Drosophila melanogaster: one gene and its partner. The protein of the gene in region 2 purifies or fractionates together with the protein of the main gene of each other region. This does not show direct contact. Each region holds a gene or a part of one and is shown on either strand. Other genes may lie near its edges. The genes, in order: ringer and alphaTub85E.

Region 1 (7,454 bases), on a different chromosome or scaffold from region 2:
GCACTCGCTTTAGAAATTACTTCACGTAATTATGTGTAAAACAACCAACCGCTGCTCCAGCGGCCAGGAGCTGCTTGGACACCTGCAGTCCAATGCCTCCAGCTCCACCGGTCACCACTGCATTCTTGCCGCGAAAGGACATCTTGGTCTGGCTGATTCGTGTAGTAGTCGGTGGTATTCCTTGTGGCTTCATCAAGCACTGAGCTCCTCAGTTGCACTGCTGACTTGGAGCTGTAATGTTCGCCGCTTTTATACCTATTTCCCAAGGGCTATATGATATATCGTTGAGTGACTTTGGTTCGACTGCAATCAATAGCTAGTTTTCCACCTGCTCTGGGTTAGGATTATGCAACTTATGCCCATATATCAATTTCCATCCCCATCTGGTCGCTGTAGCGTTCAGTCTGCTTCACACCGCTCCGGTTTTTCGATGTCAGCTTTGCATCAGTGATAATGTCATTGTGTAGATAAAGCAATGATCTCTTAATAACTATCTTCCAGTGAAATCTTTGCTTTTAAGAAGGTACACATGTTGGGCATTTTTCAAAGATCTTACAATTAAATGTATATTTCGATTTACAAAACCATCTTAATTGCTTTAAAATTTTGGTTTTTTAAATTGTATTTCCTCCCAATACAAATTTTAGCAATGCAAATATTTTAAAGTGTATTTATTCAAGCAAAATTCTTGTGAAAACATAACATATATCTACATATGTATGTCGTATATCTTTGGTTTCCATATGTGATATTTAAATTTCTTTCACAAATTGTAATATTAAAAGTTTATCTGTTATCTTAAGACTACCAAACATGGGTTTGATTGCCATGAAATGTATATAAATTTGATTTGGATTTACTTTTGAACTCTTTTTGGGCCGCTTCAAAATTTTACGTATCAAAGGACAAAGAAGGATAAACAAAGTAAAGGAACTCAAAAATTATAATCAAAAATATAAGTTTATTTGTAAGCACTTAAATTATCACAAACTTATTATATACACAAAGATAAATTAGATTGGGAGACATTAACTAGGGAAACACAAAAGTTAGAAATACAGATTTATGAGAGGGTGAAAAACGGTGGTTACCCCATCTAGTGGGCATTGTCGTAGGTGTCCTTGTGCTGGTAGCCACTCACATATCCGGATCCATCGACCACGTTCCGTCTGCCCGCGATACCCTTGCCCTTTCCGGAGGCATCGAAACGCTCCTTGTGGGAACCGGTGTACTTGCTCGTATCCGTCAATCGATCCACGGCAGCTGCGGCTTTTCCAGCCTAAAAATGGTAACAAAATGTTGATTAGGTTTTCAATAAAGGCATAAAGTATATGGTTATGACTTTCAAAGGTTTAAAAAGATATTTTTTAAGAACTTCTGTAAGAAAACTACTTTAACAATTGATAGTTTAAATGAGTCAAAAAAAAATCATTTAAATTTTGTCATATCTAAATGGTCTTCTCGAAGTTCTTTACACTTTAAAATCAATCTTAATCATTTGACTTATATAGATCATATTTTTCACAACCAATTTATCAAACCCACCGAAACGGACACAACTCCTGGAGCTCCACAACTGGCCAACTTTTGCTTGATCTCCGACAGCTCCACCTTTTTCGTCTTGGCCAGATCGTCCAGGAATTTGTTGTAGTCGCTGAGCGAGATCTTCATGGCCTTGAACTTCTTGAAGTGGATGCCTGTATCCGTGGTGGTGATCTTCTTGTCGATAACTTTGGCCTGTTTCATCCACTTGTCACTCTGCGACAGCGTTATCAGCTTGCCATCGGACTTGGAGTCCCCGAACTTGGAGAAGGCCTTGAACTGATCCGAAAAGCTAACCTTGGGCTCATCCTCCAGCGCCAATTGGGCCAACTCGGTAGCGGGCACCTCAGGAGTTGGCGCTGGGGAGGGGCTTCCATTTGCTGCAGCTACCTCGGACATGGTGGATCTGAAAAATATATTTAATATTATATATATTTTTTTAACCTTTACTGAACCCTACAGGTGTTTTAATAGATGCCCAGTAATAAATAAACAACTACGGACAAAGAACCTTCAATTTTACAGATGGACTGAGGATCATTTATTATTAATAATATGCCTAGCCTGATAGGTCATTGTTTTGTTTAACATTTTGTAGTGGTTTCTTCCAACACGCAACTTTTCCGCTCCTGCGTAATCGGTTGACTACGGTTGTCACCTACGCAGTTCCTCACCTGTGGGCCACAACGCTCACCAACATTGCGGTGGGTCTTGTCCGTCACTGTCAACTATCTACATATGTAGGTGCTATTCCCAGACGTATCTTTGCGAACACCTTATCAGTACTTTACTCACTTCGCTTTCGCAATGATATCACAACCCATGCTGAACTGGACAAAGGCAAAGCTATACCCACCCAAAGCTAGGCCAAAGCTCTCTCAGCTAGATTTCGAGAGATGGAAATCTAAAGGCAAATTGGGAGAGACTCAATCATTAGATGGCGTCATCGGTTTGGGTCCCCCATCTCCCAACGCAGCTAATTATCGCCTTTTGGCAAACCCAAATACACAAAACAAATAGTCAACAGGTTTGGCTCACATGGGTTACTCTATGGGGGTCAGAACTTAGCGCTAGCTTGCTAGATCTTTTATGATTAGTCTCTAGCATGCAGTTATCATGGGTTTTAATAATCCTAAGGCGATATTAGGTATTTACGGTACAGCTATACAGTTATAGATATACCCTAAAATTATTAAAATGAATCACTTTTACGCTTATTAAAATAACAAAAAGAGCAATAAATATTTTACGCATCGCCAGAAATTCCTCGCTTAATTTGTTACCCACCGAACGTGGCATAAATTTGGATGATAATTTAGTTTTAAAATTGCTTGTAGCATAAATTGTCCTCTTGTTTACAGGCTACCCAACACGAAGTCGAATCCTCAGACCCATCCCCATCATTCCATAAACAGTAAATAAAACGTGAGCATTTATTGGCGGAGCCATTAATTACGCACCACTTAAGGTTGCAAGTTGGAGCCCCAGGAGAGATGGAAGCCGTTTGGGCAAGCATTTAATGCGGCGATAAGATGCGACTGCAACCAGTTTGGAGTCCTCTATCCGTGAGATATGATGCCACGGCTTGTGCCCGCACAGATGCGAATCGAAATCGAAGTGGACGGGCGGGGTAGAATCACCATGACCTTGATGCAGCCCGTCGAGCATGTCAAATACTATTTTACCACCCCCTAGCCCCATTCGCAATCCAAATCGAAAAATGAGTGCTTATGTCATCGCCTCATTACGCCGGCTCTTGATTACGCTGTTCTGGGATCAGCTTTGAATAGCTCTGGGGTGAGGCAATTTAATAGCCCATATTCCCCAGATAATCCATCGAAATGATCTATGTAAACTGAGTGGTTAATTGGGAACATTGCATGCATAGCAAGTCTGCCGGTCATTAATCATCTTATTGGTCTCAAGACCAGGGCCATTGAACTTGAACTCCGCTCAAGACGATACAAATTATCCGGTCCCAGTTCCCGGACAAGACTAATGGAACCCTTTACTCCGCCCCTACATGTAATTGGAAGCCATAAATACTCGGAAACAAGAAAAGTTGACAAACTACACCACAAAAGAAGTTGGAATATGCAAGAAGAGTTTTAAGATGGCAAAAAACAAGAGGCTATCGACTAGGAAATTACCTGTAAAATCAAAACTAATAAGAAATATCTTTAGGTTATCTATGGTGGCTTTCAAAATGCTTTTTTTCACAATAGAATTCATTTTGTAATATTAGTAAAATCAATCTTTTTTAACTACCATCAGCCAATGCAAATAGTTCGGATTGTTAGATCCAATTTTCTACACTAAGATTGACGTTATTAGTTTGATTTTTAATAGAAGCCCGATTGCTAATAATTTTCTGAAAGGTTTTACAAAAATCTAAATATTATAATTATTCGAGGGAAATACTAACAGTTTAAGATGATCGTAATCAATTTAAAAAGCGGAAGTATTAAATCATCGCAATCGACAATGGAAAGACTCATCCTATGATACCCTGATCAGACTTGGATACTATATTCACACAAAATAAATTATTTTCTTAATATTCTTTGGCAACTCAAAGTGCAGATACCCCTCGTGAAATGAATGGCAGAAAATCAGGCAGTCTGATGGGGAGCGTGGATAGTCTAAATCAGAAATAATCCGCTTGCTTGTCAGACCATAAATAATTCGATTCTTCTCATTTCCCATCTCTGTTTTGGATTCTTTCTCTGTATTTTCGATTTGGAGAACAAGTTCTCATCCAGCTCCAGTCGAGCATTGCGAATTCGTTGCCAACATTTTAATTAGTTTTCTACCAAAATGGTAAAAGTTAATTGGGCAATATATATGACATATGACCACAATTTGAATAGGAATATGAATGAATATTATAGATAGCCATTTTCGAAAAGAATGGACTTCCTGGAGAGGGGAACGCAATTATAAACCCAACCTACCTCAAGTGGACCGCTGGAAAGCGAATGGAGGAAGCGAAATTTGGGTCATCTCGATGTATATTTATAAAACAAACGACTTTGGGGGGAGAAACATGAAATACTGCACCACATATGAGTTTACGTGTGTTAATAAACACACAGAAATATTAGCACCTCGGACTGAATGCATAAATTAAAGAGAACTTTTATTTTGGGGGGAACAAAACAGGAAGTCATGGGCATTCTGATAGAGCACGCAACGCAATAGAGAAATCATTGACTTAGGAGGGGGACTTATGCTCGGGACATAATATGTGTATGAAATGTGTAGCTACATCACCACTAGCCCAGATGACATCACTGGGAGCTGGGAAACGCGCAAGCGCCAGTTTGGAGAAGGGGTTTCCTGGGGGGTCTCGGTACTGGAATTTCAGACTGATGATTCAAATGCACGCATATATACACACGGAAGCGGGGAAAATGCGCCTAAATCAGGACCTCCCAAAGGAAATCGAAAACAATGGTGCTCCCCAGGAACAAAAGAAAAGGGGAACGCGATGCGCGGTAAGTGGGTCAAAATCTGCTCTTGAAAATATGAACCTGCTACTCATAAAATGAATAAAAAAAATATCCTTGGCTCGGAGTCTGCTTATAGATGCAGGATACAGTAACATTTTAAAAAAAAAAATAAATCCAACGAACTAGATTATTTTTCTCGAAACGTTTCCAACTTACATTTGTTATTAAAAAAGTTCCAAAAATTCTTGAATATATTTCCAAAAAAATATTTGTTTTATTCCTCGGCTATTTTCCAATCACTTTAAGGCAAACGCGCGAATGCTGGCGATGTCGAAACTCAACTGTTTGGACAAATGCGCAGCCAGTGGCTAGCGAAGGCCCAAGCGGCGTATGAGTGATATTTTTGTTTTGAGTGAGCTTTCGCTGAGTGAAATAGAAACTCAAAAAGGAAAATCCTCCTTAGCATTTTATCCAAAGAAAAGATGGCAAATCGTTGGTGAGCTAACATAAATTCCAAAACTTTCTGAATGAGATAAGGAAAACGATTTGGATCTTATAGACACTTTTACTGACCCCCCAATTTTTTTTCAAGCGATGACTTCATTTCGCAAAATTTTATACACGAAAACTAACAACGAAAGCCACACGACGAAGCCATTTATCAGAAAGAAAAAGAAACAAACGAGACCTAAAAACAACTCAGAATAACAAAAGTGACGCTACACACCAGAATCTTATCAAACCAACAAGTTACACTCAAAATTTTGGTTTGTTGTGAGTGAAATTCTAGGGAATAAAGCTTAAAGCTTTTCCTGATTTTATATTGTCTAAAGAGAAGGGGAGGGGTTCGCCACACAGTCTGAGCTACTAAAACAGTGAGTTTGTAGTCAGTAAATTTGTTTAAGCGCAAAAAAACAAAAAACGATGCGTGAAATTGTTGGGCAAAAAACACACACAACAAGTGCCAGACAATTCGAATAATGAAGGGTGTATCTTTTGGGCTTACTTAGACGTGTTTTTGGGGTGTGACTTGGGCTATACTAACCAGTGAGCTCATGCTTAGCTATGCAAATGAGTACTTATTTCAAGCGGTTAAGATTTGTCGACCGCCTTACTAGGTAAATGGGTTCTTTGAACTTTTCTATTTTGGACATTCAGGAAAAAGTAAAAGTCAAATAGGAAATCATAAGGAAATTACTTCGCACTCCATAAAATGATTAAACACATACTGAAACAACAAGCCCGTCCTAAACCCAAAACAAACCCTAAACGAACGAAAAAAAAACCTTTGACATTGATTTATGAGAACTGACGGTCGGAAGAATTTGGTAAGTTTTTGTGGCCAACTCGATGAAGTCATAGCCCTGGCCCAAAACCAAAATACAAAGCAACTGAAAGACTAACTTGGAAAACGAAATACCCTGAGGAGACTTCTAATTAATTTCGTAAATTAAGCATTAGGTATTACAAACAGAGGTCCATTGATTATTATTATTTAATATACAATGTTTGATATGTAATTTAAATATTTCATTCTACAATATTCATTTAGTTTATTGACCAGATGACGTTTAGAATATTCTTTAATTAAAATTAGAAAGAGTTAAATTTCCTATATTTATGGAATGTTTTACAGCTGAAATACCTTTTAGACTGATTCGTTTGCTCTTTTTTTCTAGGACATAAAATCAAAGTACTCCCAGTCCTGAAAAATGAAAAACATGATTCTTGCCACCTGGCCTATCTTAAGTGCACCTTTAATTAGCCACGAAGGCAGTTCAAAGAACCAATGGTGGTACACAAATCAGGGCACAGTCCACTCGAGACAGAACAAAGGGAGTGAACCAAGTGGACCGGACTATATTGCCAATCCAACTTCAATTCCAGGCCAGAACTAACCAGCTCATTAAGCCAGGCTGGAATGGTTGTAGAGAATTGGGCTTTGATTGAAACTGAGTGCCAACGGGGCTAACATTAAAACGCACTTATCAGCCGAGCCGTCAAGGCCAATCCAATGTGGTTCTTGCAGTTGCTCCTCCTCCTCCTCCTAATCGGGAGCGAAGTTTAAGCACCAGAGATCTGAGGCATCCGATAAGCCCGCTGCTAAAAATAAAAATGACCAGCGAAGGAGGAACAGGAGATACCAATGCAGCTGCAGTGCATCAGAGGCGGATGGGAAACATATTCTTAGGGGGTTTTCTTAGTGTCCGGTTGAAATAAGTATATATCTTCAGTGTATACTATAAGGTGTCTAAAAATTCACATTATATTATTTATTTAGCGGACTTAACGATTTAATTAACCCTTTTCTGTGTCATATTTGTAAGCTCTTCGCATAAAACATATATTTCTTATGTACATACATATGTATCTAACCAAGTATTATAATTTTTAAGGGTACTTATGACCCCCCTAAGACCCCCATTTTGTTCGCCACTGGAGTGCATGACTCCCGTGTCC
Region 2 (4,439 bases):
TGTATTCGTTGGGGGCATTGATTATTCCAAGGGGTATATATGGGTAAATAAAATATTCATATTTCATATGTATACATATCATACAATTTCTGTATAAGAACTGTTTAAACTGGGACTTTTAAGATAAAGTTGTCTGCCTAGACTACTCAACAATATCTTAATTAACTTAACAGACTAGACTTAAATTTTGCGAATACATACATGCACATACAATTTTGCAGACAAAAGAGGATACAATTTTGCATGTACATTTACAATTAAATAACATTCACAGAGGTTTCCAAAGAACAATATTATATTTAATAACGGGCGAATTTTTTAATACAACTTTTCACATATATGTAAAATTAATTTAAACTTAAAAACTATCTTAAGAATATTTTTCGCTGCTACTCCTGAAAAGGTACGTCTACGACTACTGAATTTGCTAGAAATATGTGTACACATTTTTGCGCATGCGTTTCAAAATGCATCCTAAGGCTCCATTACACGTAACGATTTCAAAAATTAAAAACTTTTAAAAGTCAACATTAATTTGCCCAATTAATATTAATATTTAAAGCAATAAGAAAGTGATAAGTAGGGTTTTTTACGGAGGGGTAATTTCCAATAAATATATGATTTACCAATTTCCTTATATGAGAAAGTTTTATTCTTATTAACACAAAAGTTAAATTCCATCTAAAGACGAATATTTCCCATTTAAATAAGCCATTTTAAGCAATTGTGTTAAACTGTTTTATTGCGAAACTGTTTTATGCATTGGTATTTGGTAGAAAGAAAGTGATGTTTATAAAGTTGTAATGGCTGTATCATTTGTTGACAACGTTTTCTCTAGTATTCCTCATCTTCCCCCAGTTCGGTGGTGGAGTCGATGCCTACCTCCTCGTAGTCCTTCTCGAGGGCAGCGAGATCCTCGCGAGCCTCGGCGAACTCGCCCTCCTCCATGCCCTCACCCACGTACCAGTGGACGAAGGCCCTCTTGGCGTACATCAGATCGAACTTGTGATCCAGACGGGCCCAGGCCTCGGCAATGGCAGTGGTATTGGACAGCATGCAGACGGCGCGCTGCACCTTGGCCAGATCTCCGCCAGGAACAACGGTGGGTGGCTGATAGTTGATGCCCACCTTGAAGCCCGTGGGACACCAGTCGACGAACTGGATAGAGCGCTTGGTCTTGATGGTGGCAATGGCTGCGTTCACATCCTTGGGCACCACATCACCGCGGTAGAGCATGCAGCAGGCCATGTACTTGCCACGACGCGGATCACACTTGACCATCTGGTTGGCCGGCTCGAAGCAGGCATTGGTGATCTCGGCCACGGTCAGTTGCTCATGGTAGGCCTTCTCCACGGAAATGACGGGAGCGTATGTCGCCAGTGGGAAATGAATGCGTGGGTAGGGCACCAAATTGGTCTGGAACTCGGTCAGATCCACATTCAGGGCGCCATCGAAGCGCAACGAGGCCGTAATGGAGGAAACGATCTGGCCAATTAGGCGATTGAGATTCATGTAGGTGGGTCGCTCGATATCCAAGTTGCGCCGGCAGATGTCGTAGATTGCCTCGTTGTCAACCATAAACGCACAGTCCGAGTGCTCCAGCGTTGTGTGGGTGGTTAAGATCGAGTTGTATGGCTCGACCACAGCTGTGGACACCTAACAGGAAGTTCGATTATTAGATTGCCTTTCGAAGACTAATTTCCCATGTCTTTTACTAATTATGTTAATTGGTCTTCTATAAATGCTCAAGCAATAGATATAATATCCATATGCAAATGACATACTTGTGGTGCTGGGTAAATGGAGAACTCCAGCTTTGACTTCTTTCCATAGTCCACGGACAGGCGCTCCATCAGCAGCGACGTAAATCCAGAGCCAGTGCCGCCGCCGAAGGAGTGGAAGACCAGGAATCCCTGCAGACCCGTGCACTGATCCGCCAACTTGCGAATCCTGTCCAGGACCACGTCGACGATCTCCTTACCGATGGTATAGTGGCCGCGGGCATAGTTGTTGGCCGCATCCTCCTTACCGGTGATCAGTTGCTCCGGATGGAACAGCTGGCGGTAGGTTCCTGTCCGCACCTCATCCACCACAGTGGGCTCCAGATCCACGAACACGGCACGCGGCACATGCTTACCAGCTCCAGTCTCGCTGAAGAAGGTGCTGAAGGAGTCATCGCCTCCGCCCACGGTTTTATCGGAGGGCATATGGCCATCGGGCTGGATGCCGTGCTCCAGGCAGTAAAGTTCCCAGCAGGCATTGCCGATCTGGACACCAGCTTGGCCAATGTGAACCGAAATGCATTCCCTCTGGAACAGAGTTTATAATAATGTGACTCATGTCGCTGTAAATTTGGGTAATTCTAAAATTTAACTTTGGACTTCCGGTTGCAAATCTGTGATTTGGACCATATGCTACAAACAATTTTGATCGCTGTAAGTTCTTGGGTATTCATTTAAGATAATAGTTTACAAGCAGTTATATTTTTTAAAACCATTAATTAATCACTTGCAAAAATGAATAAATATTGCACCATATGGTCTAGTTTTGCATGAAATCGCATATAAGGACTTTTAAGGATCCATAGTTCTGTGCAGCCGACGAAATTTCAAAAGTCCAGCTAAATCATTGAAAGTGCCTATTATCCTTACCATGATGATCAAAAGTTTAAGCTGAAGTTTAAAAAAGCAGATTCAATCACGAAAATCCTAGCACTGGTCTGTGATGCGACACACAGCTGGGAGTCAACTAACCGAATCTTGACGATACGCGTTCTTTTATAAGCCCCCAAGACAGACATATGTAGCATATGCTATATGCTACATGCTATATGTGGAAGTTATGTGAAATGTGGACGCGTTCATCGACTTAAGTGACGATAGGCACCCAACCCATCCAGACACACATGACCAAGAAGTCGCCTCTTGATCGAATTTTGTTTTCCTCCTCGTGTGTTTATGGATGGATTGAATTCTCACATTGATCCATTCACATTCGCAGCTGTAGGTTGTTGACAACATTTTAGATTATTTACTTACTGGGTACTAGTCTCCACTTGGAAAGCAAGTCTTATTTCTGTTGAAAAATATAAGCATATGAAAATCCAAATATACCCCATATTTATTTTTAAAATTGCACTAGGAAATCAGCATAAACAGATGAAATTGTCGAGGTGGGGCCAAACCTGGCATTTCTTTTGGTGGAAACTTGGCCAATTATTCGCTGACGTATTAGGAATATGAACGCCACTTACGATTTCAATCGGACACACCCAGAAAAACAAAGAAAAAATTACAAAACAAGATACTTTTCAAATAATTGTTCCAAACATTAAATAAAATCTAAAAGCCAAAGGTCTTATTTGTTGTTTATGTGTCAGATTGCAATGAGTATGTAGCTGTGTGATAAGAAGAAATAAACAAAACATTCACTTAAAAATTTAAGATGAATAATCTTCATAGCGAAATGAAAGCGTAGCGCATGTTTCGAATTAAACAGCCATTTTTACTTTTAATTTATTTTTTATTTATAACTTAGATATTATAATACTGCTCACAGTAATTTTACGCTAAATTCCTAATATATATGGTATTTTTAAATATAAGTTTTATGTAAGTTCGACCAGTACAAAATTAAGTATTTCAAAATAAATGCCGGCCAGCGTTGTAAGAAAAAAATGGGCATTATTTCCTCCAACTTTACACTGAGTTAGTACATATATATTTGAGCAAGTTATTCCAAAATTATTTATCATCACGGAATGTATCAAAAAAGCTGCATTGGCTTCAATAGAAGGAAGCAATCGTTTCGTCAAATTTTATTTGACTAAACCTATTCTCTGGTGCATTTGGGTTTTTTATTTCTCTTTAACGAAAAACATATAACAAATTGGCTGGGCTTTAGTTTAAAGTTAGTTTAAAGTTGGGTATTGGGTACGCAAACACAAGTATTACCAAACATTTCTTTTTACTTATAACAACGAAAACCATGGCCGCAAACATTTTGAATTATCCTTCTACATATTCCGAAATAATGAATAGTGCGAAAGTGAAAAAAAACGAATTTTTACATAATTGCCTCACAAATAAATACAATCAATCATAAATAATACAATAACAATAACTCCAGTCTATAAATTCGTCTGATCCGATGCCAGTAGTCTAGGATTTTTAAAAACTTCAGTTAAAGTATTTGCATTGGCCACAAGTAAACCACTGTTCTGCTTGCACAATTTAAAACCTATTAGTTATTTCATTGGATATTGATGTCGTGTAACTTATAATTAACAACGTTTAAAACTAACACTTCATATTTGGCCGAAAATAATTGATCTCTCCAGAATATTGTTGTATTTTCGATAATAAAGTGGTATAAAAAGTTTATTCTATTGAGTTCGAAATGCAGAATACAGAAAATTGTAAATCCTAATCACAGGGGCG

The links.
Region 1: the proteins of alphaTub85E (region 2) and ringer purify together in Drosophila melanogaster (affinity purification with western blotting, with the first as the bait; one study listed by BioGRID). This does not show direct contact.

Annotation. Positions count from the first base shown.
Region 1 is NT_037436.4:16,354,089-16,361,542, forward strand, and holds ringer (ringmaker), read right to left. Parts: upstream 5,341-7,454; 5' UTR 5,211-5,340; intron 2,361-5,210; exon of another isoform or gene 2,217-2,360; intron 2,104-2,216; exon of another isoform or gene 2,003-2,103; intron 1,949-2,002; 5' UTR 1,942-1,948; coding exon 1,546-1,941; intron 1,280-1,545; coding exon 1,097-1,279; 3' UTR 658-1,096; downstream 1-657. Other genes in the region: Pdh (photoreceptor dehydrogenase), read right to left, coding at 50-193.
Region 2 is NT_033777.3:9,730,495-9,734,933, forward strand, and holds alphaTub85E (alpha-Tubulin at 85E), read right to left. Parts: upstream 2,757-4,439; 5' UTR 2,655-2,756; coding exon 2,652-2,654; intron 2,310-2,651; coding exon 1,785-2,309; intron 1,657-1,784; coding exon 835-1,656; 3' UTR 727-834; downstream 1-726. UniProt on the Drosophila melanogaster protein: Tubulin is the major constituent of microtubules, a cylinder consisting of laterally associated linear protofilaments composed of alpha- and beta-tubulin heterodimers.